3 linked regions of the Ovis aries genome follow. Each later gene encodes a partner of the first gene's protein in a complex. Links are inferred from orthologs where the notes say so. Each region holds a gene or a part of one and is shown on either strand. Other genes may lie near its edges. The genes, in order: TADA3, MBIP and TAF6L.

What was found.
Region 2: TADA3 (region 1) and MBIP share a complex: the UniProt entries of both Homo sapiens proteins name them as parts of the ADA2A-containing complex. The link is inferred for Ovis aries from reciprocal best matches to the Homo sapiens genes TADA3 and MBIP.
Region 3: TADA3 (region 1) and TAF6L share a complex: the UniProt entries of both Homo sapiens proteins name them as parts of the STAGA transcription coactivator-HAT complex. The link is inferred for Ovis aries from reciprocal best matches to the Homo sapiens genes TADA3 and TAF6L.

What each region holds. Positions count from the first base shown.
Region 1 is NC_056072.1:16,890,318-16,900,248, reverse strand, and holds the start of TADA3 (transcriptional adapter 3), read right to left. Parts: upstream 4,473-9,931; 5' UTR 4,254-4,472; exon of another isoform or gene 4,116-4,253; intron 3,997-4,115; 5' UTR 3,939-3,996; intron 3,260-3,938; 5' UTR 3,234-3,259; coding exon 3,027-3,233; intron 1,682-3,026; coding exon 1,431-1,681; intron 1,305-1,430; coding exon 1,199-1,304; intron 1-1,198. Other genes in the region: ARPC4 (actin-related protein 2/3 complex subunit 4), read left to right, coding at 4,845-4,847, 7,323-7,441, 8,625-8,736. UniProt on the Homo sapiens protein: Functions as a component of the PCAF complex. The PCAF complex is capable of efficiently acetylating histones in a nucleosomal context. The PCAF complex could be considered as the human version of the yeast SAGA complex.
Region 2 is NC_056071.1:44,235,846-44,245,776, forward strand, and holds the start of MBIP (MAP3K12-binding inhibitory protein 1), read right to left. Parts: upstream 6,917-9,931; 5' UTR 6,881-6,916; coding exon 6,752-6,880; exon of another isoform or gene 6,252-6,751; intron 3,111-6,251; coding exon 2,991-3,110; intron 1,245-2,990; coding exon 1,020-1,244; intron 932-1,019; coding exon 835-931; intron 1-834. UniProt on the Homo sapiens protein: Inhibits the MAP3K12 activity to induce the activation of the JNK/SAPK pathway. Component of the ATAC complex, a complex with histone acetyltransferase activity on histones H3 and H4.
Region 3 is NC_056074.1:37,622,582-37,632,412, forward strand, and holds the start of TAF6L (TAF6-like RNA polymerase II p300/CBP-associated factor-associated factor 65 kDa subunit 6L), read left to right. Parts: upstream 1-606; 5' UTR 607-932; intron 933-954; exon of another isoform or gene 955-1,258; intron 1,259-1,446; 5' UTR 1,447-1,498; coding exon 1,499-1,506; intron 1,507-3,448; coding exon 3,449-3,608; intron 3,609-3,934; coding exon 3,935-4,021; intron 4,022-4,689; coding exon 4,690-4,840; intron 4,841-4,994; coding exon 4,995-5,045; intron 5,046-5,607; coding exon 5,608-5,702; intron 5,703-7,007; coding exon 7,008-7,082; intron 7,083-7,223; coding exon 7,224-7,444; intron 7,445-7,749; coding exon 7,750-7,882; intron 7,883-9,657; coding exon 9,658-9,786; intron 9,787-9,831. UniProt on the Homo sapiens protein: Functions as a component of the PCAF complex. The PCAF complex is capable of efficiently acetylating histones in a nucleosomal context. The PCAF complex could be considered as the human version of the yeast SAGA complex.

The sequences.
Region 1 (9,931 bases):
ACAGGAGAGAAAAATCTCTACACTCACAGTTTAGTAGAGAAGCCAGGTACATAAACAACTAAAACACACAGAAGGCAATACAGGAAAATTTCCATGATGTAACGTGCAGAATGGTGTGTGTACACAGACAATATCAGTTGAGAGCTATTATCTCTCGAAAGAACTACAGGCCTTCAGGTCAGAAATGAGAGAAATAGCTTATGCACTGCTTGAACTTGTGACTGCCCATATAGATTACCTTTTCAAATAAGTTTTTTAAAAACTCAGACAAGTGGAGTGACAGAGTAGGTTAAGGTGTTGTGGCAGTGCAACAGACAGACCAACCTTCTGCTGGAAAACCTGCAAAACCATTTTGGTGCAGGTAACGTGCAGTAAGGGACTCGAAGGGTGTTAGTTTGCCAAGGGGAGATTGGCATGTACAGAGGCCCAGAGACCAGAAAGGACCTTGTGTGAGCTTGGAGTGAGGGTAAGGTGCTTGGTGGGGCTGGCAAATAATAGCAGTAAAGAGGTGGTGTGGCCAAGGACACTGTGCTACCAAGGACTGAAGCTTGGACCTGAGTCTGTGGGCAATGGGAGCCACACAAGGCTGTTATAAGCACCTCTGATCATGATAGCGAACCTATGGGAGAATTCCCCTCCAACATTTTTCTGTATTTTGTACATTTTCTTTAACGGAACCTCTTTTATTTTCATCATAAAAACTAAAAATAAAAAAACTTCTATACATTACAAAAAAAAGAGAGAGAGGAACTTCCATGGCGGTTCAGTGGTGAAGACTGCTCACTTCTACTGCAAGGGGTGCAGGATTGATCCCTGGTCAGGGAACTAAGATCCCACATGCTACCTGGTGCATCCAATTAAAAAAGCAGAGAAGAGAATCCCTCTAGAGGCAAGCAAGTGTTAAGAGGCTGTAAAGGGAAAAGCTGATGAATTTTTGAGCCAAAGCAAAGGGGATGACAGAGACAAAGGGAGGACTGCACTGAAGAAGATGCCTTAGGATGTGGCAGGGTAGAAGGGAGGAAGCTGAAAGCTAGAACCTGGGCGTCTAAGTGAGTTAATGGAACTGTCAGGAGGCTGGGGAGAGAGAAAAAGGAAGATGATATATAGCTCTGTTAATTGTGAGGCATCTCTGAGCCCTCTTGTTCTCCATCATGTCCAAGATGTTTCCATCTTGTCTCATCATGCCTGGGGTCTTCACCTTGTAATGTTCAGCCTCATCTTCTGGGGGTTTCAGTAGCTCCTCTAGTGTGCGCACTTCCTCACTGGTGATATCAGCACAGTATGGCTCCACCGAAGCCCAGAATCTGCAGGGAGAAGCAGAGCCTGAGGGGGTGCCCCCTGCCCCCTGCCCCACCAGCCTCAGCCCCAGGCCTCTCCACAGCCTCCAGTGCCCAAATCCCAAGGCCCATCTATGTTCCCGGGCCCAGAACCTGTTGGGGGCGTCATTCTTGGGGATACGTGGCACATCAATTGGGTCGTCAGTGAATTCATATTCCTGGATCTTGGGCTGAAGGTTTTTGGATTTGGGTCGCCCAGGGCCAGGGCCAGGCCCATGGCCCGCCTTCCCTTCCAGTTTCTGCTTCTTGGGCTTCCCATGTTTGGGGGGAGCTCCAAGCTCATGGTCTCGACCCAGCTTCAGGAATCGTCGGTCACCTTTCTTATCCTGCCAGTCAGTGAGGATCTGAAATTCAAAGACTGTCACTGAGGATGAGAAGGGAAGACACAGGACAACTCCATCTCCCCATGAAAAATTAGGATCTGGAACTCAAGAAGGCTCTAAGTCTCTCCCCTTCCTCTTTTTATCTACCAAACTTCTACTCATACTGCAAAAATCAGCTCCTTTTCTGTGCCCATCTCACAAGACTTTTTCATATACTTGTCATCATTCCATTCACTTGTCTGTATTGATTCACCTCTGCAGCGCCCAACCTGGTCACACAGTGTTTAGCAGGTCAAACAGGTAGATGACAACGCAGTGCATGATAGCCCGAGGAAAATATGCTGGCGATAACTTTCTATTGAAGGCACGCATGCCTCCCAGCAAACCTTCACTTCAAATGTCACCATGACTAGGAAGCCTTTTCTGTATCAGCTATCTAGCTTCTTAGATGCTGTGTGCTACAGCCCCACTCGAAAAGCTTCCATGGGTTCCCAGGGACCACAAGTTAATTTTATTCATCTTATGAGGTTCAGTTAAAATGGCATCTTCTTTCTATAGGAGTCTCTGGTACCTTGCACCCCTAGGCCCAATCATGTCATCTGGTCATAACTAGAATAAACGGAGTACCTAGTCTCTTCAACAGGATTATAAGCTATTGGGGACCAGGAAGTTCATCTCAGCCATCTCTGGTCCCCAAGTTCTGGCAGAGCACCTGGCACACAGGGCTCAGAGGATGTTTATGCCATAAATAGAAATAATGAGAGTCAGACCAATAAATAACATTTGATATGCTTTCTTAAGTGTCAGACGTTGGGCTGAGCCTTTGCAAAAAATCTCTTAATCCTCACAAAAGCTGAGGGTAGGTCCTATTATCTAGCCCACTTTTCAGATGGAGGACTGATCTGCAGAAGCAGGCAGTTAAGTTTTGCAACGTCACACAACTCAGAAACTGCAGGATTCAAATCCAGGCCTCCCATTCCAGTTCCCCCAGTACTCCTAACCAGAACAGCAATTCACCTGATACGTGTCTGACCTCCCTTTCCTTTAGTTAGCACACTCCCCAAAGGCTGGAATTGTCCTAATTAACTCTACAGACTCAGAACATTGTGAGGAGGGGGGGGGGGGTGTCCCTAGATGCTTAGTGAATAAGAAATCTCACATTTTAGAAGGATCATGCACATTCTTGCATATTTTATGTGTTACACAAGCAATGTTTGGATCTCTCTCTTCAAACCCTGAGATCCTGTAACCTGGGCCTCAGCAGCTGAGGCTAACTCAGTGACACATCCCATAACTTGTCATAGTCCATCCCTGTAGCGGACTGTAGTGACATCCATGTAGTGATGTCCCCTCTGTAGGGTATAACCTGGGTTTCAGCCTCAAGCACCCGCAGGCGTCGGCTGGCAGAGGAAAGCAGGGTCTCAAGCTCCAGCTGCAGAGTGTCCAGCTCCTCGATACCGATGCCGTCATCCTCAGAGCGGGCCAACACCGCTGTGTAGCGAGGACAGACCTTCAGGTGGTCCACTGACTTGAAGTCGTGGAACTGCAAGGGGCAGTCCTTCAGCTCACTCATGGCTCAGGATAGGGGACCCTGTGGAGCTGGAGAGGAAAGGACCATTGATGGGGGTAAAAGTGGCACTAGAAAAGTCCAAGGGCTCCTTCCATCCACCGACAGCTTCGGGGGAGAGTGATGGCTTAGCTACTATTCTCACAGCACCTACTGTGTGCCAAGTGAGGGGCAGACATTTTACTGGCTACTCACTGAATTCCTCACTCAACCCCAAGAGCAGGGACCATGCTCATCCTCATCTTACAGAGGAGGAAACAGACTTTGTAAGCATGCAGCAGGTCCAAGCTTACCAACATGAATCCAGGTAGTTTTGAATTTGTTCAACTAACTGCCATGATATACTATACTACTATGCTTGTCTTTCTGATGCTCTTCCCGTCACTTCCACTCTTCCTGGGTTCTGCTGAGCCCAGAGTTCCAAGCATCCGGTACTTAGGCTAATGTTCTTCGTGCCTCCCAGCCTCTTCTTGTCTCACCCCTCCCCACCTCTGCCCCTTCTCTTTGCCCCACATAGTAAAGAGATACCTGGATCTCTGGACAGCCAGATATACCTGGATTCAAGCCCAGGCTTGACCAATGTCTATGTAGCCCTGAACATGTTAATTGATTCTGAGTCGGTTTTTCCATGCGTAAAATGGGGACAAAAGAAGCCTGAATCTGTTTTCCCTTAAGTCTGAATCTGTAAAATGGGGTAATAATGGTACCTACCTCCCTGGGATGTTCTGAGGATTTAGAGTTGATGCCAGTCAAGAGCTCAGTTCAGTGCCTGGCACAGGAAAAGTGGGGCTGGTTAATGGCTGGCCCCACCCATGGATCGCCCCAATGTCCCGCCTTCAGGGTCCCAGTTCTCTAAGGACACCCTATCGCGGCCCCCGCCCCCTCTACCTTCTCCTTGCTGCCTCCAGCGGCCCCGGGGCCGCGGGAGGGGCGGAGAGTTCCGGTCGGTGAGAGCAACCGCCCCGGAACTGGCTATGTGAGGGCCCCCTGCAGTTGACAAGGGGGCGGGAAGACGCGAGTACCAACCCCAGTCTTTTGGTGGGGGAGGGTTGCGGGCAGCGAGCTAGCCCGCTTGCAGGTGGGGTGCAGAAGGTATGCCACGGGCGTACCCTAGGGAACACCCCGGCGCTGGAGGGAGGGGCTCGGCAGCCAGGCTTTCGGCCCGGCAGTTAGTCTCGCCGAGCCCCAAAGGCTGCAGGTAGGAGGGGCCTGAAGATAGGATGGGGGCGCAGAACCGGAAGGATCGAAAGGCTCCTCCGCCTTGCCTTGCCCTAATATGGTGCCAACCTGAGGTCGGGCTGCACCATTGCATGACTATGAGGGAAGGCGGCGGAAAAAAGACGAGAAAGCCAAAGTCACAAGCAAGAGCTCCATGGGGAACGGGAGAATCTTGAGTAGTGATTTTAAGCTACAGAAGCCTAAAGCTACTAAGACAGTCCTAACGGGAAAACTTACGAGGGACCAAATGTTCTTAGCCTCCCCCTCCCCCGCTCGGAACACAGATGGTACAGTCCGGACGTCCGGGCGGAGACTGCGGCTGCGCTTCTGGAGAAAGGGCAGGCGTCGCGGGGCGGGCCACTTCCGCACTTCCGCTTTCCGGCCCAGCCAGCGCCCGCGATGGTGAGAGCCGGGCCTCGGGCCAGGGACCCCCGTCTTCTGCCTCTAGGCTCTGGGTCTGGGGGAGATGCGACTTTGGAGCGGAGAGGCCCTGGGCCGAGGGATGCTGGGGGTGCGGGGGTACCCTGAGGCTGGAAGAAAGAGGGCGGGGCAGGGGCTGAGGTGAGGAAGGGGCGAGCGGGGGACGCCTTCGTAAGAAGCAGGCTTTGAGGCTTCCTATTCTGTCCTTTGAAGCTGGTGGGGGATACTGAGGCAAGAAAGAAGCCGGAAGTCGCTCCTCCTCGGTTTGTGGTAGCGCCTCGAAGGCACGTAGTACACCTTATAGCCCGTAGTAGGGCCGCTGAGGCATGTAGTAGGAATACCTCCCTACCCAGAGTAGACGTTCACTAAATAAACTCTTTTCTTTCTCGCTTGCTTGATCCCACAGTTCTCTGAGGGAAGCCTCCATACTTCCTTTTCCCACTCCTCATGTTGCCACCAGCTCTTACTTTTACCTCACTGAAGGATCTCTCTTTTGCTGCCTCCACGCAGACCCCTTCCTGGTCAGAATTCAACCGTATCAGCCTTAATATGGAATGTTAAGCTCTGATGCCGCTGACCTTTGCCTTTCAGGAAGTCGTCCCTTTTGATCATTGTGGGTGTTTCTTAACGTCAATTGAGAGTTTGGGTCACTGCCTTCCCCTTCTTTATCTTCTTCCTGTCGATACCTATTTAATGCACAGGTCTTCATGACCATATAATTTATGATGACTCCTAAATCTGCCTTCCTAGCTCTCTTTCAAGGTTTACCTGGATATCTTGAAGACACCTTGAAATTAGACGTCTGGATTAAAACTCACCTCTCCCTAAATTTGCTTGTTCTCTTGTATTCCTTATTCTTGCTCTGTGTTTTCTTACCTCAGCTAGAAACCTGGGATATTCTTTTGTTGTTAAACTGAGGGGATGCCTCTTGATTTTTTTAAACATCATACTTGTTGAAGTATTACACAAGAAGGTGCTTACTCCATTTGTGAAAGGGCAGACGTCATAGGGTTGACCACCCAAAATGTACCTTTTTCAGATTTGCTATGAACTTTGACAGATACAATCTTGCTTGTCCCTCATTGCCCCAGGCCAGGCTCTTATTACCCTACTTAAATAACCGTCTCTGCTGGCTCTGTCACTTCCCTCTCCTCCAATCCATTCTCCACAAAGTCTCCATGCAGTTGTAGTTGTGTAACTTCCTCCTCAGAAAGCCCCAGAAGTTCCTTACCACTTTTAACAGAAGAGCTAAACTCAGTAGCCTAGCATTTGAGATTCCTCATGAATCTCTGGACCCCATCTGCAACCTCATCCATTGAATCTAAAAAAATGCTTCCTGGCAACATTGTACTCATTACTACTGTAATGCCCCTATTTGTTACTCTAATCTTGTTATTTTTTCATTCATTCACTTATTGTACAGAAACTGAGTAAGATGGTGTATAGGAAAGGTCCTGACTGAGCAAGTTGCAGGGTATGTAAATTTGAGTAGAATAGATACGGTCTGTTAACCATGGAGCTTTCAGTTTAGTAAAGGAGAAAATTACTTTTCTTGGAGTTATTTGAAGGGTGTATCATTGTAAATTATAAGTGCTATGAAAAGGGAAGTCAAGAATGACCTCTGAGGAAAGAAGAGGCCTTCTCTGAATAAGCCAAGATCTAAAGGATGACTTAGGCAAAGAAGGGGGAGAAAACCCTGCAAGATAGATGGTTTGGCATGTGTGAAGGCCTGGGGTGAAAAAGAACTTTTAGCTAATACAAGGAATTGAAGAAAGTCCTTTGTTGCTAGATGCCATTTCCTCTACCAGGAATATCATTTTTGTTTTTATCATTGTAAAATCCTAATCCTATTTCCATCTTCAAATCAAAACCAGTTTCTTCTGCAAATATGATTTGTAAATCTTAACTATTTCACATTTTATGCATTGTATCATAGTTACTGTCTGTCTCCCTGACCTGGTTGAACTATTTAAGGGTAGAAATGGTCTTGGTCATTGAATTCCCAACCCCTTGTGTGCCCTGGCACACTATAGATATATACATTTGTTGACTCAAAGCGCAGATTGAAGACAGTTATTCACCTGTGTGCCTCTAGACCAGAGTTTCTCAACTTCAGCACTATTTGGGGCTGAATAATTCTGTTGTACATTGTAAGCTATGTAGCAGTATCCCTGACTTCTGTCTATTCAATGCCAGTAACTCCTACCCAACCTCAGTTGTGAAAATGAAGAATGTCTTGCCATTGCCATATGTCCCCTGGTAGGCAAAACAGTCCCCTTTTGAGAACCACTGTTCTAGTCTTAAAATGAAAGACATCTTGAAGGCCTAGTCTGTTCTGTTCACTGCAGTGTCTGAGAGCCAAGGACCTCAGTACTGCCTGGCTCCTGTGTAGCTGGACTATGGGATCAGTGGATTTTGTGAGACAGATTTTGATTGTCCCTTGGGGTTTTCCTCCAGACTGCCACTCTCCGCCCCTACCTGAGTGCCGTGCGGGCCACACTGCAGGCTGCCCTCTGCTTGGAGAATTTCTCCTCCCAGGTCGTGGAACGACACAACAAGCCGGAAGTAGAAGTCAGGTATGGGAGGAAAGGGGGTAGGGGGTGATGGATGTAGCACCCAGAGAGGACTGTTATCGGAGAGGGCCGTGAACTTCCATCCTGGAGTTGTCAGAACGACTACAATTCACATTTTTTGTCTTGCTGCCAGGTAAATGATGGTTCCCAATTTGAAGTTCAGAAAATTGGGTCTCAGTGGGTTGACAGGACAAAACTCAGGGGAGAAGCTACTCTGGAGCCAAGATTTGCTTGACACAAGTTGTGACTTTTCAACATAGGGCCATTTGGGAAATATCTCCCAAGGAGGTAGTGAACCCTCTAGCAATTTAAGGAGAAGACTTGAGAACTGAATTATCTGAGATGCCATCTCTGCTCTTCTCAAATTTGAAGATCAAGGATCCCTCCCCTCAAAAAACAAATAAACAACTGGACTCCCATCCCCTACTACAAATATTCTATACTTTGGATTATTTTATCTGATTTTTGTTTTGTAAAAAAGTTTTTCTTTTTCCCCTTTGATGTTTAATCTGGTACATATACAACTGAGATAAGGATTGTTACCACAGTAAATTGATACGATTTGAATGTAAGAAAGCTGACATCATGTTAAAATGTGCCCTGTTATGCTACTTAATGTATATGGTTTCCACTAGGCATTTTAAAGGATAATAGCTCACAGACACCAACAATACAATTAACTACCGTCTGAGGGATCCAGAGGCATCAAAATGGGAACTGAGTTGAGAGGGGTCATAATTTTGATTATTAAAGGAGGCCAAACTGTTTGATTTTAGCTTGGCCTTATCTCTAAGGCAGGCTCTCATTCCCTAAACAGTATATGGGTTTCCCTATAGTTATGAAAATAGGAGTTGTCATTTGTAAAGCTCCTACAATGTGCCAGCTCACTGTTACACACTTGACCCTTGTTGATCTGTTTCCAAATGAGGAAGTTGAAATTCCAACAGGGTAACTTGCCCAATGGAAGTAACAAAGGAGGCTGAATTTCAGAACCTTTCACCCTGACTCCAGAGCCTGTGCTCTTTCTGCTGGAGAACATGCTCTCTGGCCCCCATCTTGGAGCACCCCTGCTTGTGAGTCTCATTCCTTGGACTCTGTGGTCCCAGATTGTGATTCTAGAACCTGCCGTGGAGCCTCCCTGACCATTCTGTTCTTTTATAGTACCTCTGTCATTTTGTGTTCTCAGGAGTAGCAAAGAGCTCCTGCTACAACCCGTGACCATCAGCAGGAATGAAAAGGAAAAGGTTCTGATTGAAGGTTCCATCAACTCTGTCAGGGTCAGCATTGCTGTGAAACAGGTGAGCTCACCCCAGATCCCCTGCCTCCCCGGGGAGGCCAGGGATCCCCTATGTAAGAGGTCAACATGCCAGATTCAGGGTGCAAAGAAACCCAGGTTCTCTTTCCAGGAAATGATTTGCTAAACCTACCAGATCAGTAGAATAAAGGGAAATCAGCCTTCTCTCCTAGGCTTGCTCTGGATTAGACAGCAGGTAATGTAGCAGCCAGGGCTGTGGGCCAGTTTGGTGTCAGGTCATAAAACTCTTCCTAATGAGTGAAGAATAAGTTCAGTTCAGACAAACAAGTAGTAATGGTATCAGTTTGATAGCCATAAACTCCAAAAGTGAGATTTAGGGTAAGAAAATGAAGTGTAGTTTCATGTTTCTTCATTGTTTCACAAATGTCTGACATTCCCACTACCCCCATCGTTTCTTCCATGTTTATGGACCACTTGGCTACTTCTTTACTTAATATTTTCTTTCAATTAACTTTTTTTTTTTTTACTTAAATTTACCATAAAAAGAAAAACAATATGCCTTGCCAAATTGAGGACAACACTAAAATGCAAGCACATTGAAAATAAAGCAGAGTTAAGACTTTTGCCTCCAGAAAGCTCTATCCCTAGTGCCTGCTCTTTGTTAAAAGGGGAGATGAATAAATATTGGGGGCTGTTAAGGTCTTGCCAGCCCGTAATACAAAATTCTTTCATCAGAAATGTTGAGAGTTCATTAGGGGAAAACTTTGGGAATTGTTTGATGTTCATTGTTACTAAAGTGGAGACCATCTAAGGTTATCTGATATACTTCATAGTGTGTATCACTGACTGGAAGATGTAGCATTAGTGAAATGAGACTGGAAAGGGCAGATTTGAATCTAGATATGGATTCTGGAAGGATTGGATAAAAGATTGGGGCTTGCCAGGACTTCCCTAGTGGTTCAGTGGTTAAGATTCTGGGCTTCTACTACAGGGGACTTGGGTTTGATCCCTGGTCTGGGAACTAAGATCCTGCATGCCACACGATGTAGCCAAAATGTGTTTTGAAGTTAAAAAAAAATAAGATTTGGGTTTGTCAGAGTTACCTTTCTGGAATGGGTAAAGGCAAGATCATGATAATGCCCCATTAAGTTGGAGGGCTCTCATGTAGTGGACCTTCCTTTTAGCTGGCAACCAGTTATTTGTGATTCAGACTTCAATACCCAACCCCAGTGTCTCCA
Region 2 (9,931 bases), on another chromosome or scaffold:
CCCACCTTGAGCCTGCTATTACTTCATTATGAAGAGAATCAGTGCACCAGTGTGGTGTGAGCCAATTCTAGGTTCATCTGACAATTCAGTATTCATAATAATTAGTCAAGAGATATTAGAGGCAACAAGAAAATGCCTCATCCCAATTAGGAACGCTTCTCCATAATTTTTTCTAAGAACTACTTGTTCTGATTATTACTGTGATGCCTGAATATGATCTATGCCAGTGCTTTGCAATTTTGTATTCTGCAGCATACCTGCAGATCTGTAAATACACTATAGCATCATGTGAAGAGGAAAGGAGATTCTGATGAAAAACGCAAATGTATGCACAGTTTGAAAGAAACGAAAGAAGCATAAGATACCACAGTCTTGATGACAAATTGGTTTTATCATGACATAAAACCTTTCAAACAGCTAAAGAGTAGTGAGAAAACTGCTCCCTCTTGAGGAGTATTAACTTTACTAAGTTTAACTTCATGTATTAATATAATTTCATAAGTACCTTTAGACTTAAAATTTATATAGCTCAGCTCCTTCTTACTAGTGTGACTGAGCAACCCGGTCATCCATACGTTATCTTCATTTCCTAAAGGAACTTTAAAACAATCTCTTCACCTGTGGTAAACATTTACCTTTTTAAGTTAGCATCTGATTTCTGTACAACCAAAATTAAAACCATTTTGCAATACACTCTATTATTAAACAGAAGAAAATTCTGCTGTCTTAGTTTCCAAATAAACCTGTGAAATAATTAAACTGCGTTCTTAATGTTATCCATTAAAAAAAAAATCATTAAAATCCTAAAAAAATTAACTTCTTCTAGGTAGTTACCTTGATTACAGTCAATAACATTGCAAAATTCCCTGACGTTGTTTTCATTGATTTCAGCTTGCTTTCTTTCAATAAATGCAGATATTCGTCTGTCAATCTGCAAACAATAAGTATATGCATCTTAATTCAAACATAGGAAAATTTTAAAAAATACTCCCTTGGCCCCCCAGAACCCAACTTCTTACTTCTGCTTTTCCAGCCTTTATCTGAACTACTTCTGGATCAAAATGGATCTGTGTCTTTTTCACATCTCCTAAATCACCGTCTTTGTGCTTTTCTTCCTCTTCCAGGTCTCCAGTGGGAAAGTTGGCATTTACTTCATTCTTGTTCCCTGTTTCTGTTTTTCCTATTTCTTCAACAACAGTTGTATTCTCCTCTTTAATCAGAGGCTGAAGTTTTGCTAAAAAAGGCTGAGAAGAACACAATTCCATCTGCTGAGGTTCAAACTGATCAAAATTAATCACATTTACCATATTTATATAAATTTCAGCTAAGTAAAAGCAATATTCAGTATCAATTAACTAAATATAAAAGGTTGGCATCATACATAGATCTGACCACATGTAAGTGTTTTTGCTGTTCTCTATTATTGTGACCAATATCATTTGCTATAAATCTATTTAAAGAAAAAAGGAAAGAGAAAGAAAACCTGAGGAAATTTAAAATTTTCTTTGAGGGAATCATTCTGTCACTCATCTTTTATTTTGTGCCAAATCAAAGCCTCAGCCTCTGGCACCAATGCCACTTAATTAACATGTCATTCAAATGCCTCCTCAGAACACTAAGGCTTAGTATTTTTCCTCCTTAACACAAGAGCCAGTGCTCTCACTCAGCAAAGCCCTGCATTAGCACTGTATCACTGGAGATTCTCCACTTGAAACTGCAGTTGGCCAAAGTGAATGAGAGAGCATAGACATGAAATATATAGGTGTTATGCTGAGTGAACACTCAGGCTTTTCCTGACATGACAAGATATCTTCTTGGGTCATGAATTTAAATTTTTAAAAAGAAAATGAACAAGGAAAAAAGAAAAACATTACCAAGAGCCATAGCTGAAAGAGGTAGATGCCTACAATACTAGTGGGGAATACAACTCTATCATGTAAATTATACTACAATCCCCTCCAACACACTCACACAAAATTAGGCCTCAACTGAGTCCTATAGCTCATTGCTTCCACCCTTCAAAACTATGGTTAACTATTACTTTTAACATGAAACAGTTAAAATTTCCCCAAAAGTCACTGAATAAAGGGCTGAAAATTGTCTACTCTACTAATCAAAACATACCAACACTTGTCAAAGTTCCAATTATTTTTTCATACCTACAATTTTGCTTCCTTTGTCTGCTATACCAAAAATTCTTCTGAATCCTTATAATATCTTAATGGCACTAAACTGACCAATCCAAACCTTTATGACACTTCATATTTTATACTTTGATTAGAGATAAACTGTAAACATCTATCAATAATAACTGCAAATATGTTCAGCTGGAAACTAGTAAGGTCATAATACTGTTTGGTTATTGAACTGAAATATTTTTTAAAATATAGCAATACTATTATAGATTAACAATTCAGTGTTGACTTTTAATATAAAGAATGAATTATTTTAAACTCTTAAGATCATAAAATAGTGACTGGCTACTTACTAATATGAGACATTAATGTCACAGAAATTACTTTCTTTTTAAAAACTATGCTGAAACTGTTTAATTGCAATAGACACTCCAGGATGTGTCATGCTGGGATAATGCCACTTCTTGAACCACTGAAAGCACTCCATGAGCCTCCAAACTCACCCAAGGCATGGAATCATTATCATAGCATGACACACACCTGCCGTGTCTTATTGCTTAATTATAACCCACCATAGATGCAACTGTATTGAATTTTCAGTGCAAGTCTGGAATCGAATAGAACTGCATTCATTCAGTTGTCACACCCACAGCAGCCCATTCGGCTATATTCCTGTAACTGTCCTGATCACTATGTAAATTAAAGATTTAGATCCAATCTGGCTGAAGTAACCTTTTATTAATAACAGTATTAATAAGGTGTTAAGACAGAACCTACAAATACTCCAGTGTACAATTTAGCTACAATTAATTTCTAGTCTCAGTATCGAGTTAACATTTTTAACAAGAAATTTACCTGTAAATATAAAACGTGTTGCTCAAGTGCACTAAAGAGAAAAGCGGGCTGGAATGCCGAGAGGCTCTGGAGCTTGTTCCAATCGATTGTAATTTTCACCACATCATCTCTGAGGTTAAGCTTTAAAGGGGCAAACCAGCAATATCACAAAAATTACATGATTAAGCTGTACATATGGGATTGTCACAAAAATAAGATTTCTATAGAATAACATGCCATTTAGATCAAAGTTCTCAAGTTTTTAATGATACATAAAAGTGCTCTACCTAGTTACCACTCCAAAAAGGCAAGAAAGGTCCAGTTCTCAGAAAAAAGCAGATGACATCTCTAATTCTTTTCTTGGGTCTGTGTAATGGGACCATCTCACAGGTAAAACTATCCAGGAAAGATGAAAAGATGAGGCTTTTTTTTTTTTTTTTAATAATTCAGTATCTGAAAACTTTTGGATAGGGGCCAACAAATGCTTGCCCTATTCAAAATCCTACTGCTTCTAGCTAAGAACATTAAATACAGGGGGAGGTACATTTATGAAAGTTCTGATTTCATAATTTCTGCATTTGTTTTTGTTAAATATGCACATAAATATGTAACAAATATATCATTCCTCTGATGTCTTCCGAATCACATTTTCATTGTTTTCAATTTTAACCAATTTTTTAAATTTAAAAATCAACTCATATATTCATATTCATATATATTATAAAGTCTGCAGCTACATGGCAGCATATGTTTACTTCAAATAAAAATTAAACTATTATTTAGCTGTGGAAATCTGAAATTTAAAAACAAATGTTTTTCCACAATAGTGAAATAAACAGCCAAAGACTGGATGGAAAGGTCAGACTCACTGCTAAACAGTATTTTCTAGTACAATGTAAGAGTTCATGAAAATTTCTCCTAAATTGGCTATGTATGGCCTATTACGATAAAGTTATACATAGAAAACTACCACAAACCTGAATATAAAATTAATACCAAGATGAGTCAACATTTCAGAGGGAAAGCCTCCATTTTTAGTATTTCAAGTGAATAAAAGTGAATCACTGTAAACATTTTTAGGGACACGTGTGTTATGGCATATATCCTGCATCACAGGATCAAGTTAACTCTTATTTTTTCAGAAATCATTTATTTAAAATTAGTCATGTTTTCTACAAAATAAGGACAAGTGTTCTATTAGTTAAGATCTTATGAACTGTGATTATAATAAAACAAAAAAAATGAATCACTGTACCAAAGAGATCCAAAGTTCCCCAAAAGGCACTATATGTATGAATGCTGTATGACAGAAATTTACCACCCTTTGACCAGAAATATTTAAAGTCCATATTAGACAAGTGTAAAGAAGTTTTGTGTAGGATGCACTGGCAAAAATTAGTTTGTTATTTTAACTAAATTAGTTTGTTATTTTATATTAAGAAAATCATATTAATCTTAATTTCTATTTTTTAGTGCTTATAAATGTTTCAACAGCTTATGCATGGAAGTAACCCATCACTATACTTTTACAGTTCTAAAGGAATCTATAATTGATTATAACAAACTTACAAATACAGTTTGGGGATAACGCAGGCAAATCCTCAACCAAAGCAAAGCATCAAATTTTCTAGAAAATAACTTATAGAAATTAAATTGAATGTCTGGATTATATTCTCATTTCAATTTAGCAGAATTATATAAACTTTCAAGTGCAAGATACTTGGTCTTTGAAGAAACCACATAACAATGCCACAAATTAACTTTAAAACTATCCCCAATACATCCAACTATTATTCAACAAATTCCCTATTAGTAATATATGAATTCTGTGCATTTTTACCTATAGAACTTGTAAACCATTCAGTCAAAAAGGTATTAGTCTGTCATTAATATGAACTATTTAAAATACACATTTCAGTAAAAACTTTATTACACTAATATAAAAATCCAAGTTAACAATAAATATTTCTTCAGCTTGGTAAAATGCAGCAACCAGAGGCAAAATCAGTATTCAATAAATTCAAAATCTGGGCTAGGAAAATTTTAACATCTGATTCTATGTTTCCTATTGAGGAGAGCTAATAACACAATGATACTATATAGAAGGAACTAGGCATTTTACAACATAGATTTTTTTAAATTTCTTAATCTTGTTTCAAAGGGAAATAGTTATTTCCACCAGGAACAATTTTATAAGTATAGTATTCTGGCTTTCAGTATCTTTAACAGTACATCTCAAAATATAAAGAGTATCACCAAATTGGCTAGCATTTAATTGATGAGATAATCTTACTTTTTGACAATCTTATTTAGTCTTATTTATGGCCCCTTTACTCTGTCATGAAAACTAACCAAATATTTACTCTCTAGATATTTTTGACAGGTGACATAAGTAAATTTTAACCACAGCACTATTTTTACCTACAGAATGTTTAAAATTTTTAAATGAGTTTTAAAAATTCAGTATGCAAACTATTTCAAAAGATAGGTTTAAATTAACGTTTTTAAAAAGTATCTCATCAGTGGTGGGGGGGTACTTTTGTAAACTTTAGGTGCATATAAACTTTTTAAATCTTGATATTAGGATTAAAAAAAGAAGTTCCAATGTCCACGCCATAGAAAGTTCTCCAACTTTTAAACCATTTACAGATCTTGAGTCTTCAGACTGAAATAATTACCCTAAGTCTTAAAAAATACATAAATAAAAGTTCTAAGTCCTTGACAAACTAATGAGTTTAAAAGTTACAACTTTTAGCTGACTCTATTAATAATCATCCCATTACTCCAAAATGAATGTTTAACTAAGACCAATGCTCTCTGTAAGTCAGGACAAACATTGAAATTTTTTTAAATACTGAAATAACCTTTTAAAAGACTGATTCACCATCTACCCAAGGCTTTTAAAAATAATTTTCACAAACACTCTATTTTCATAAAGGAAGTTACCGTTATGTTCAACGCAAACGCCTAAGTCCAAGATTTTTTTTAAAACATTTCTTTTTGAAAGCAGATAAACATATTTTCAAGCTGTTTCTCATTTAAAATTTGCTTTGCATTTACATCAGTAAACAGTGCTTTCAGTGCAAGCAGTACCTTTATTTAAGCTCCATTTTATTATGACATTTCGACAAAAGCTATTTACCAGCCAGTTAAACTAATAAATAGTTGAATTACGAGTTAAACAAATTGTGATGCAAGCTGTATTGACCAAAGGTAACTCAGCCAACTTTATGCTACAAACAGTTTAGGTTAATTCTTTTTCTCTTCCGCCTTGTTTTAAAGGGGAAGAGATGCAAGCTACGGCCAGAAGGAAAAAAGTAAACAAAAGCAAGTGACTCATAAGAGCAAATCACCCTAAAGAGGCGGAGAGAGCGCTATTCCAGAAATCTCAGGCCCTACGAACCTATCAATTTCTACAATGAATGAACTGGAGGAAAAACGATCCTGAGGCTCCAGGCGCCTCCCAAACCATCAGAGAAGCTCTTCCGTATCCAATCTCTCCAAGCCAGTTTCTTACCGAGCCGCGTTTTCACTTACACTAGCCTCATTCACTCATGGTGAGAAGAGCTGCAAACCTAGCCTGTCACCGGTCAGGATATAACCCGCGCGGCCATCCTCATTCAGCCCACAGGGTACCCGGCCCACGCTCCTCCCCCGGCCTCTGCTGCTCCAGCCGGCTCCCACACCCTGCAGGCCTCCGGTGGCCCCTGCCTCCGCGCAAGGGAAAATGGGAGGAGGGGCAGGCCTGTTCCCAGACCCCTACTCCACAGAGCATCACTCACTTGTCCAGCCAGGTTATGCAAGGAGCGGAAGACTTCGCAGACTATCTCTCGGGAGAGGCTGGGGCTGCAGCTCCGCTCCAGGCTCCTGTCACCGATCGTAGGGCGACTAAGCTCAGCGGCTGCAGCCATGACACTTTCTGAGGCTGCCCCAGCCAGCACCAAAGTGCGCTCACAACCCACCCCTCCCTCCATCGCCTCTGTCGCTCCGCGATGATGTCAAAACACTGCGTCTCTTTTAGACCAAGGCTTTGAGGACCCTCTGTGTGACTGACAAGCATCTGCCCCAATCAGGTTCCGCTGAGGACCGCGAGCGGATGATTGCCGACCTACGTGAGGCTGGCCACAGTATTTCCACTGGAGATTGGAATTGGTAGCCAAAGAGGGTTAGCTTCGTGAAGTCTACCTTGACCCAGATGTTAATGATGAGTATTGCTAGAGAAAACTTTTATAGTTAAATGTTAGTGATTTAGTCCCATATTAAAAGTTAAAATTTTAACATGGCCCTGTGGAGTGGCCTGGAGAAAGATCGCTCGTCAGGGATGCAGCGCTGCCAACGATTGTTTGTAAATATTGAGAACTTTTCCACATAGAATTGTCATAACTGGATAGAATATTTTCACCAATATTCAAATTAACATCACTAATTTTTCATTAGAGGAAGAAGATATAAAACAAAAATGTTTATGCCTCATTTATTATCAAGGGAATGTTAGATCTGCAAAGTAATTCTGTCAAGTTTTAAAACTGATGAATCAGTTGTTTTTCTCTGGGTAATAGGATAGAGACACTCATCCTAAAACTATTTCAATAAAGGGAAACACTGTCAAGATGATCCCAACAGGAATTTAACCCGAGTAAGCAATCGCATGCAACACAATCTCTGAAATCAGAATATACAAATCCAAATTGAAAATTGACAAAATGTTACTTATCAGATAACTTTGTTAAAAGATGCTTAGTTTGTAGTATTACAAAGTCTAACATTAAAAGTCTGTCCTGTGCAATTGAAGAAAAAAGTTTAGAAAGTTTTTAGTGTTAAAATCTGTTACGCTTGAACAATAAACATTGTCAGTATAGAGATAAGGGAGGAAGGATTTAATGTTCTAATAATCTAATGCCTTTAGAAGAAGCAGAGATGGAAACTTGCACAAAGTGTATTCTTCAGTTTTAGAGTAGTCTGAATGAAAGGAAAGGAATAAGGCACCAAGGAACTGGGATTAAGAGCAATAGGGGTTTTTAAAAAGCCTTTGACCTGTCCCTGCTGCTGCTGCTGCTAAATCGCTTCAGTCGTGTCCGAATCTGTGTGACCCCATGGACGGCAGCCCACCAGGCTCCCCCGTCCCTGGGATTCTACAGGCAAGAGCACTGAAGTGCTGTTGCCATTTCCTTCTCCAATGCATGAAAGTGAAAAGTGAAAGTGAAGTTGCTCAGTCGTGTCCGACTCTTCCCGACCCCATGGATTGCATCCCACCAGGTTCCTCCGTCCATGGGATTTTTCAGGCAAGAGTACTGCAGTGGGGTGCCATTGCCTTCTCCCTAAGTAAGTGTTAATCGCTCAGTCATGCCCGACTCTTTGCGACCCCATGAACTGCAGCCCACCAGGCTCCCCTGTACATGAGATTTTCCAGGCCAAGAATACTGGAGTGGGTTGCCATTTCCTTCTCCAAGGGATCTTCCCAACCCAGGGATTGAACCCCGGTCTCTTGCACTGCAGGCAGATTCTTTACCAACTGAGCTACAAGGGAAACCCTGCCTTCTCCCTAGGGAGGCTCTTAATTAGGCTTTCATTTTCAAAGAGCATCAGGCTTGATAGGGTCTTCAGTAGTCTTGTCTGGTCCCTGTTCACAGCAAGATATACAGTTTATAATCCAGCCTATGTCTAGAGATGTCAGATAGAAAGATCTCACAATATCTAATCCCAAATTTAAGCAACCTTCTCATTCAAGCCACTCATCCTCATATTTAACCTAAATTCAGGATTCTTTGCGATGTTAGCATATTTTCTCTGCCTTTGGTTCTCTTGTTAGAGAATCATTCTAATGAGGTAACTAGTTTCTGTTTGGTAACATATTAGCAACCAATTCCAGATCATTTGTTTTCATCTAGATGTGAGGTCTTTCTTTTATTCCCCCAATATTCAGGACACTGGTATGAAACACATTTGGGAACTTGATTTGTATAAGAATACCATCTTTAATAAGATACTGCTCATCTTTTTCTTTTGGAGAAGGAAATGGCAACCCACTCCAGTATTCTTGCCTAGAGAATCCTGGGGACAGAGGAGCCTGGGGGCTGCTGTCCATAGGGTCGCACAGACTCGGACACGACTGAAGCGACTTAGCATGCATGCATGCACTGGAGAAGGAAATGGCAACCCACTCCAGTATTCTTGCCTGGAGAATCCCAGGGACAGAGGAGCCTGAGGGGCTGCCGTCTATGGGGTCGCCCAGAGTTGGACACGACTGAAGCGACTTAGCAGCAGCAGCAGCATCCTTTTCTTTGCCATCACTGATTTTGAAATTTAGAGTTTTACTTTTTCCCTTGAACCTCTAATATAGAATTGATTGATGGCCTTTGGATCTGTATATAAATTCTCTATTTCAATATGTAGACTACCACTTATAGTATTGATTACTTAGCTAATAACCTGAAAATTAACTCTCGTGCATTATTTCTTCTTCCAAGGAACTTTTCTTACTCCCTCCTGAAGCCTGTTATCAGGAGGCTTCTTGAAGCCTACTATCCTGAAGCTATTCCTGAAGCTCAGTATATATATGCTTGTTGAGTTGAATTTATTTGCCTAAGTTGAACAGATTTGTAAAATGGAAAAACAAAAGCTCCTACTCTTGAAGGGAAATTGTACAACATAGTAAGAATGCTATAAACCATTCATTTCAAATAATGAAGCATGTCTGTTTATTCTCTCCTGGAACAGCAAATTCAAAGTGCTCAAATTTTCCTTAATGAATAAGCACAGCTAGCCTCCAAAACCTTCTCATGAAAGACACACATAAAATTAATTGTACCAGCTGTATGCCAGGCACTCTGACCAGGTTTGAAGGTACAAAGATGAATCAGGCAAGGAGTATCTTTCAAAAAGTTCTAGTTCTCATGGGTGAGGCATATATGTAAAAAAACAACTATGATACAATATGACAACAATCTTATTGGAGGTATGTA
Region 3 (9,831 bases), on another chromosome or scaffold:
CTGCCCAGGTTCAGAGAAGTGTGTCAGTGTAAAATGGTCAAGGAAGTTTGTGAGGTAGGTGAGGGCTTACAGGACAGAAATGGGGAGAATATGAGCTAGGGTGCCCGAATCGGCAGAGCCCTGGAGTCTGCAGCTGGCACGGGGTGTGTTTGGCCCAGTCAGAAGACCCTTCTGCCAGCAGAGAAGACCCTTCTGCCTACTGAGATTCAGGTTCAACCTTGGGGAAGGGGAAGTGGCAGGGGATGTTGGAGAGTTTAAGTTGAGCCCCACCAAGCAGGCAGCAAAACTAAGGCAGACGCCAGTCTAAAGCGTCAATACACTCGCGTAAATGCAAGTGCTCTGAAACTCAGGAGTAGACAAAGGAATGGGGATGGTTTCCTCGAGAACATGTTTATTAAAACGTAGAGCGAGCCGTTACACACCCAACAAAACGCCGAAGAGCTGTTGCTTTAAGAGGCGCGAGTCTTCCACATCATGTGACCTCTGACGTGACCGAGCCGTCTACTGCGCCATCACGGTGGCCAATCGGGTAGTGGGACGCTTCTTTGTGGGCAGGAACTCCTGAAGGCGCTCGCCGATTGGCTGTGTTCGTGGAGGGCGGGGCCTGATAGCCGAGAGAGGGAATTAGTACGAGCAGGGTGAGTAGGGGTCATTGCCGCCGCTACCGCCGCCGCAGTCACCGCCACCGCCGTCTCGGTAACCGCCTTCGCCGTCCCTGAGCCATCAGGTGAGCAAGCCCTCACAGAGCCGTCCCGCTGCAGGTTGCGCGCTAACCGGCCTGGGCGCCCGCTCCGTTGGGGGCCCGCCCCCTTCGCCGACCACGTGACCCCAGTTCGGTAACCTCTGACCTCCTCCTCCCTGCCCCCCCCACCTCTCGAGCTGGGATGAAGCGCGGCCGGGTGGGAGGATGCGCTTCACGGAGGCCGGCAGAGGTCAGTTCCCACGCCTCCTTACCGGTGTGGCTAGTGGCTGAGGATGTGGAGAGGAGGTTGAGTAACTGGAGACCTTGGTCAGAGTCGGACTTTGTGGGGTGTAATGTGGGCACGTAATAGGGAAACTTCCTTGGCGCCTTCCGCGGGCAGGACTTGCTGCTCCTACTTTACAGGTGGAGAAAGAAGGTTAACAGCCATTGGCGGGTCTCCAACGCCGAGTCCCTGGACTGGGAATCCAGGCCTTGTTCCCCAAACAGTCCTCCGCTCCTCATGATTACAATGAGAGTTGAGTTCTTGCTCCCTTACCTAGGTAGTGCTGGCCAGATGATCTTGGGAAAATCATTTAACATTTAACCACTCAGCTCTGATTGTGAAACAGACATAATGTTTACTTAATACCTCTCTCATTGTTAATCCAGACAAAATGAGGTGCAAGCCATATAAAACACTTAGCTCAAAGCTTCAGGCATAGTATATACTGAGAAAAATAGCGATTGTGTGCTCATCTTTTCAGCAGGTGTTTACTGAGGGTGTGTTATGTGCAGACACCGTGCCTGACGCTGGGGATGCAAAGGTGAGCAAAAAGGCATGATCCTTGCCAGCATGGAGCTTACACTCTACTGGGGAGGTAGATGTTAATCAAAAAGTTACACAGGCATATAATTACAAACTGGTAACGGCTTTGGAAAAAAAAGTCATGGCACATGGTGAGGGTCTGAAAAGACGTCTCTGGGAAAGTGACTTTTTTTTAAACTTTAAAATAATTCATTTATTTGTTTGAGTGTGCTGGGTCTTCCTTGCTGCATGGGTTTTTCTTTGGTTGTGGCAAGCAGGGGCTACTCTCCAGTTGTGATGCACGGGCATCTCATTACCATGGCTTCTCTTGCACCAGGGCACAGCTGTAGGGCGCACGGGCTTAGGTGGCTGCGGCTTGTGAGCCCTAGATCTTGGGCTCTGTAGCTGCGGTGCACAGGCTGAGTTGCTCTGCAGCATGTAGAGTCTGCCCGGACCAGGGATCGAGCCCATGTCTCCTGCATTGGCAGGTGGATTTTTTACCACTGACTTGCCGGGGAAGCCCCCAGCAAGTGACATTTGAGACTGAGATCTGAAGGAAGGCCTCAGAGTTCACTGGACAAAGGGGCTGGGGTAGAGGAGAGTGTTCTAAGTCCAGGAAACAGTGTGTGGACATCCTGAAATAAGGTGTTTTTGAGGAAACAGAGGCTACAGGAATGCAGAACATAAGCAAGAGTGGAAAGAGATGTTTGGGGATGTAGGCCCGCATGCGGGGCCTTGGAGCCATGGCGCAGGTTTGTTTTTTATTCTAAAGGCAATGAGGAGCCATTGGGAGAAATGCTGCAGGGAGGCCAGGCAGGGTACCCGCTGGATTTAGGGACCTGGAGGTCACTGGTGACCCACTGGGCCTTGTCAGAGAGGAGTGCTGGGGCAGAACCTGGGCGGGTCACTGAAGCGAGGACCTCACTGCTGTGGTATTGTCTCACTGTGGCCCGTGTGGGCCAACCTTCTAAGTGGCGTGTGTTTTTGGAGTCAGTCACCAGCTGCTGTTTTTCGTGGGTTCTTATTCTGCCATATCCTGTGAACAGAAGAGCAGGTTCCTGCTCGAAGCCTCTCAGCCACATTGGGGAAGACCAGACATGGGCAAAAAGCCCAACTGCTGAAAGCCTGACAGTCCCAGATGGAATAGGGGCAGGAAGACCTCAAAGGACAGACTGGATCTGCCTTAGGAAAGAGGAGGGCCTGGGGGCTTGGCACAGCAGGAAGGCGGGCCAGCCTGAGCACCAGCGGTGAGGTACAAGGCAGGCTGGAAGCCACGAGGTGGCCTTCCTGGGAGGATGGGTCAGCTTGATGAGCTCTGCGGATTCAGGACCAATCCCAGTATGTTGAGCCAGGGAGTTGGGATTTTCCTTTTATGAGTCCTGGAAAACTATTGAAGACTTCTGAGCAAGGAACTGTCAGGGTAAAAGTAGTCTTTTCATCAGTGTTTAGTACTGGTGGCTGTTGCACAGATCCAGAGGAAGACAAGTTTTTGTTTGTAATTAACGATTGTAATATCTTCCATTTGTGTAGTGTTCTGGCCCTTGAGTTTCTCCTACATCATCTCATCTCATCCTCATAGCAACCCTGTGTGTTAGGGAGGGCAGGGGTTATTGCCACTATTTTACCAGACCTCAGACTGAGGAAAGTCTCAGCCTGGTTCACATTAAAAGTGGTGGAGCAGGGCTGGGACTCAGTTCTGTGCATCCCAAGGCCAGGCACGTTGTAAGATATCACTGCTGTTTGCTGTCACTGCCGTCTGCCCTCTGACCCAGCTCAAGTCTGTTTCTTGCTCTGAGCCCGGACACTCAGATGAAGCTGCTGGTTCAAGAGCAGGAACAGCTCTTGAACAGCTCTTGAATCTGGAACAAGAGCAACAAGATTGGTTTGGAGGGCCTTCAGTCAGGCTCCCGGGCTCAGAGGGAGATAGGGCTGCCCTTTCCCACCTCCCTTCCCACCCCCAGCTCCATCGGGGCCATGTCGGAGCGAGAAGAGCGGAGGTTCGTGGAGATCCCTCGGGAGTCCGTCCGGCTCATGGCAGAGAGCACAGGCCTGGAGCTGAGCGATGAGGTGGCGGCCCTGCTCGCAGAGGACGTGTGCTACCGACTCAGAGAGGCCACCCAGGTACACTCCCCCTCCTTGTCCCTCCCTGGGACTGCCCTCTCCCCCAGGGGTTTATTCAGCTAGTACCTCTCAGGCCCCTCCTTCGTGCTCTGAATACAGCGGAGGCAGTCCCGTCCTCTCCAGGGCCTCCTCCTAGGCAGCTGGGCTTCCAGTGAACCAGGCGCCTGCTGAGCCTGTGCTCCTCACCACAGCCCCGCTGGGCAGGCCAGGCAGGTTCATCGTCACATCCCCCGTGTGAAAAACTGAGTCACAGAGAGGGCATGTGACGTTGGGAGTTGTTTGCCACGCCCCACTCCCTGTCCCTGACTCTGTTCCTCCCCTCGCAGAATAGCTCTCAATTCATGAAACACACCAAACGGCGGAAGCTGACTGTCGAGGATTTCAACAGGGCGCTCCGATGGAGCAGTGTGGAGGTGAGTGGGGCACAGGCTGCAGAGGGCTCAGCTGGCACGAGCCTGCCTACGCGCCCGACTCAGGGCCAGCCACACAGTGAGACATGAGGGCCCAACGCACACACAAGGGAAGGTCACAGCCACCGCAGCACAGGTGTCACGCCCAGTCCCCCAGGGCCAGGCGTTCAGAGAAGCAGAGGTGGCCACGGAGGCCCGGAAGCTAGGGAAGGCTTCTTGGAAGAGCTGGCACTTGAGCTGAACCTGCAAAGGAGGCCGGGATTAGACTCAGTTGCAAGAAGAAAAGGCCATTCTGGGTGAGGGAGCAGCCTGAGCATGGGCGTGGGCGTCAGAACATCCTGCATGGTCGTTCCCTGGCAGGGGGTCCGGGGAAGAAGATCACGTTTAGAAGAGAGGAGCGTGTTCAGAGCTGGTCTCTGTGGGGAGGCTCAGCAGCCTGAGGGTGGGGTTCAGGGTCCCTGCAGCTCCGTGAGGAGGGACCACGTTCTACTCCTTGACTTAGTGAGCACTGGTGCTGCAGCCAAGTTCCCAGTGAAGGGCCTGGAGTCCCAGGCATCCCCCTCTGCTCAGGGCCTCTGGACTCCCCGCAAACATAGGCTCTGGGCCCTGGCTGGTAGCACCCCACTTACCTCCCCAGATTCAGCCTGCTCCCCAGTCCTCTCTTCACTCAGGCCGTGTGCGGTTATGGATCTCAGGAGGCGCTGCCCCTGCGCCCCGCCAGGGAGGGTGAGCTCTACTTCCCCGAGGACCGAGAGGTGAACCTGGTGGAGCTGGCCCTGGCTACCAACATCCCCAAAGGCTGTGCTGAGACAGCCCTGAGAGGTGACCGCTGGGGTCCTCTACAGGGCGGGGACAGGAGCTGGGCTGTTGGAGGAATGGTGATGGGCTGGTGGGTAGGTGGGGCAAAATGCGGAATGGTGGGTGGTGTTACAGGGGCAAAATCCCGGGCTGACCCACCTCTCTGCTCTGGTTCTAGTTCATGTCTCCTACCTGGACGGCAAAGGGAACCTGGCCCCTCAAGGATCAGGTAATGGGTAGTACGGGGAATGGGCCCTCTGCTTGGACTTTCCTCCCTTAGGACTGAGGGTGGTGCTGCTACCCCTCTGAGGCCTCATCTGACAAGTATTTTCTGGTGCCTGCCTGGTGCCAGCCCTGAGTGGGCACTGATCCCTGCCCAGAGGCCTCAAAGTTGGAGATGGGATCCCAGGCCTGTAACCAATCATGACGCCGTGTTGAATGTTAGTGTAGAAGTCTGAGCAGCTTACGGGGGTCCCTGAGGTGTCACACTTCCAGGGTCTGCTGAATGGAGCTTACAGAGCCTGAGGCTTAGGAACTTGGACCTTGGGGACTAAGCAGGAGTCTGCTGGGCAGAACTCAGGTGGGAGGCAGCATGCAGAGCTGGGCTGTGGAGAGCTTGCAAGGCCAGGGTGAACAGGCTGCTCAAGAGAGGTTGGTGGCTCTGTGTTCCGGGAGGCCTCCTGTCTGAACAGGCTCCTACGGCGACGGGGGTTGTGGGGGGCGGGGAGCAGGCAGGGAGGCTGGGAGAGGGCTGGCCTCACGCTGACTGCCTTCTGCCCACCCTCTCACAGTGCCTAGTGCTGTGTCTTCACTGACCGATGACCTCCTCAAGTACTACCAGCAAGTGACTCGGGCTGTGCTGGGGGATGATCCACAGCTGATGAAAGTGAGCAAGCGGGCCTGAATTGAAGCTTCAAGGCCAACCGTCAATCCCCCATGGAATTCCTTCAGAGGCCTGCTTCCTGTTCTCTGCAGGCTGGCTGATCTGGGTGGAAGCTGCTCTTGGTGGGGGGCGTGGTGCTCTGCGGCTGGCCCTTCTCCAGCACTGCTCCCCTCCCTGCCCCAGTAGGAACCCTGTTCCTTAGGGAATGGGCAGCTCTGCAGGGTCCTGTGGAGGGTGGGGACGATACAGGTGGTCATTCCCCCCACACCTTAATCCAGAGCCCTTTCTTTGGGGTGTCTGTTGACCTGGAGCCATGCGGGGCATCCACCTTGTGCCTTTCATCTGTCTGGCCTCGAGAGGAAGTAGAGGGAGCCTGGTGAGGGTGCCAGCCAGACATCATACCAGCCCTCTAGGGCTCCACAGGGCCCCTCTGGACACTGCCTGTGCCAGGCCTCTTCCGCCAGAGGCAGAGGAGGGCTGGTTTGGTGGTCTTGACCACGTGGCCCTCTGTTTGAGGGGTTTACATCTTCCGCGCCTGGGTGCTGCTGTTATTTCCCTTGCAGAGTTAGGACTGTTGTTACTGCACTCTCCTGCCTTAGGAAATTTGCTACTCATCCCCAGACACAGTGCATGTGGCTGGGCCTGTGCCTGGGAGCTGGGCTCCTTCCTCTCAAGCTGTTCTCTGCTTTCACAGTGCCAGAGGCGCTGGGAGGGCACAGGTGGTGGAGGTTCAGGCTAAGACAGTCTTACTCATTGACTCTTTTTTTCTGCCTATAAAAGTAATACCAGCATGTGTTTATCATAGAAGTACTGTAAAACATGCAAAGTAGAAATTCTGTAGACCCACCACTCACATTTGTTTTCTATATATAAACTATCATAGTCTGCTGTCAGTTGAAGTGGTATTAAACTAAACATCTGGTTTTAGAATAACTGCTTTATTCAGTTGAAAATATGTTGGACATTTAGGTTATATACAGTTTGGTTCAGTCACTCAGTCGTGTCTGACTCTTTGCGACCCCATGGACTGCGTGGCGTCGTCCATGGACTGTGTGGCGTCGTCCATGGACTGTATGGACGCCAGGCTTAGGTTATATTCAGCTTTTTATTATTATAGACAGTGTTATGTGTGGATATGTGGGTGAGTGGGTTTTGTTTATAGTGGCTTAAATTTGTAGAAGTGGCATTGCTGAGTCAAAGTATGAACATTTAAAATGTTAATACATAGGTGCCAAGTTTTTCTTTAAAGAGGTATCAGTTCATACTTGGGGTGGGTGGACCAGGGCAGCGTGGCCCCTTCTGTTTCAGATTGCTCTCCACGACCTGCAGACCAACTCCAAGATTGCAGCACTCCTGCCATACTTTGTTTACGTGGTCAGCGGGGTAAGTGACCAGGCTGCAGCAGGGGTGCATCTGTGGAGGGGCGATGATGCCGCAGGCTGTAGGGCTCCTGGCAGGTGCCACCAGACCAGCAGGCTCTCCTGCACCTTCATGTCCCCCTAAGCACCCTTCTTCTCCCAACAGGTGAAATCTGTAAGCCATGACCTGGAGCAGCTGCACCGGCTCTTGCAAGTGGCACGGAGCCTGGTTCGGAACCCACACCTCTGCCTGGTGCCCTATGTCCGCTCCCTGGTGGGCAGTGTCCTCTACTGTGTCCTGGAGCCACTGGCTGCCTCCATCAACCCGCTGAATGACCACTGGACGCTTCGGGATGGCGCTGCCCTCCTACTGAGCCACATCTTCTGGTAGCCACCTGGGCCTAGCGCTGATCAAGGGTGGGACTGTGGCAGAGCTGAGTGGCTTGGGGTGGGAGGTGGGGTGAGACTTCTGGCTTTAAGGCCACAGGTTGAGAGGTTGAGAGTGTCTTCCCTCTGATCTTCCAAGTTGTTGTGCTTGGGGTTTTGTAAACGGGTGGCAGAGACGCCAGGGGTTTGATCTACCTGCCCTCAGGCCTGGGCCCAGCTGCCTCGCTCACTTACCCTGTGTGCCGTACACATGCTGCTTCCTCTGTGCTCTGCCTTGTTCCCCTGACTGAATGTTGCTCCCACAGGACTTATGGGGACCTTGTAAATGGCCTTTATCAGCAGATCCTGCTCTCCCTGCAGAAAGTCTTGGCGGATCCTGTGAGGCCTCTCTGCTCTCACTACGGGGCTGTGGTGGGGCTGCATGCTCTTGGCTGGAAGGTGAGGACCCTGGCTTTTCTCACAGAGCCATAAGAGCTTCCCGTTTATAGTTAGAAAAATAATCTTTCTTGTCCATGAACGTGTCCTCTTTCTCCATTTTTTAGGTTTTGCACTGTCTTTCAGGATCCTTTTGTAATTTTCCCTGAAGAGAACCTCAAAATAACTTGTTTACTCCTAGATTCTTGCTATGCTGTCATACTGTTGTAATGTCTTTGCATGGTGTTTCTTATTGGTGTATAGAAACACAACTGATTTGTGTATTGATTCAGCTACTTCATTAAACTATCATTTTTAACTGTAGGTTATTTTGGGCTTTTAAGGTAAATCATACCATGTGCAAATAATGATAGCTTTGTCTTTTTTAAACCTAATGCCTTATTTTTTTTAATACCTTTTCCTCTTTTGGCCATCCCACCTGGCTTGTGGGATCTAAGTTCCCCAATCAGGGTTGGAACCTGAGCCCTTGACTGTGAAAGTGTAGGGTCCTAACCACTGGACTGCCAGAGAATTCTCAAACCTAGTAATTTTTTATTTTATTGCTAGGACCACTAATATCATTTTAAATATGTTGATATTGGGCATCCTTGTCTCATTTCCAATTAAAAAAAAGTACTAACAATAACCTGTCCTGTTTAGGCTGACGTTTACTTTATGTGTTTGTAAATACCTTTCTCAGGTTAGGGGAGTTCTTAATTATTTATGTTAATTTTATCAAATGCATTTTCTGTATCTTTTAAATTGATTCTAAGGTTTCCTGTTTTATCTGTTAATGTTGTTAATTGTATATATAGATTTTCTTTGTTTTTGGCTGTGTCACACAGCTTGTGGGATCTTAATTCCCAACCAGGGGATTGAACCCCTGCCCTACCAGTGAAAGTGCTGAGTCCTAACCACTGGACCACCAGGAATTCCCCATACAGATTTTCTAATAGTAAACTATCTTTACATTTCTAGGATAAACTCACTTTAGTAATGGTATAGTCTTAAAAAAAATGCAAAACTTTTATTGGAATATATTTTTTATATACAGTTAGATTTAAATGATTTATCTGTATTTATGAATGAAATCAATCATGTACTCTTCTCATATGGTTTTAGTATCAGGGTTATACTGGTTTTATAGAATAAGGTGGAGAAGGGAGTATTTTTGATACATTTTTAATTATGTTTTATTGAGACACTCTGTTCCTTAAATGTCTGTAGGCTGGCTTTGTAAATTCTGGCATGCTGTTTTGTGGTTGTATTCTGATCTAATAGTTACAAAATTATTTCAGTTTTCATATTTCTTGAGTCAATATTATATTTTTCTAGGAACTTGAAGTCTTAATTGCTTTCCCCCAAATTAATCACAGGATTTAAAATTACATAATCAGAGTCCAGATCTCTGAGCTGTTGTTTGTTTTTGTGCAAGTGGTCTGAATTTAGTTCCAGTTTACATGTAAGCCAGGACGGTACTTGGAATGTAGCAGTTGGCAGCTAAACTTCTCGTTAGCAAGGGGCATTACTTATACCCTTCAGCCCTCAGTACATATGTCAGTGATCGTGGGGTCACTTTATATTGTTTGTCTGTCTTTGTACCTGATCTTTATTCCCATTGCTTAATTAAGGCTTGGGCATTCAGGAGGTTCCAAATAAATGCTGGCTGAATATGCCAAGCAGGGAATTTAGGATTCAGCCCTGTCAAGAACCAGAGATAAAAGTAGATCTTTCAGAGGAAATGGTACTTGGCAAGCAATGAGCAAGAGGCACTCACTGCATTCTTCTCTCCCATCCAGGCAGTAGAGAGAGTCCTGTACCCACACCTGTCCACTTACTGGACAAATCTGCAGGCCGTGCTTGATGATTACTCAGTATCGAATGCCCAGGTTAAAGCAGATGGGCACAAAGTCTATGGAGCCATTCTGGTGAGTGCCAGACCTTGCCATCCTCTCCTTCCTGCATCAGCTCAG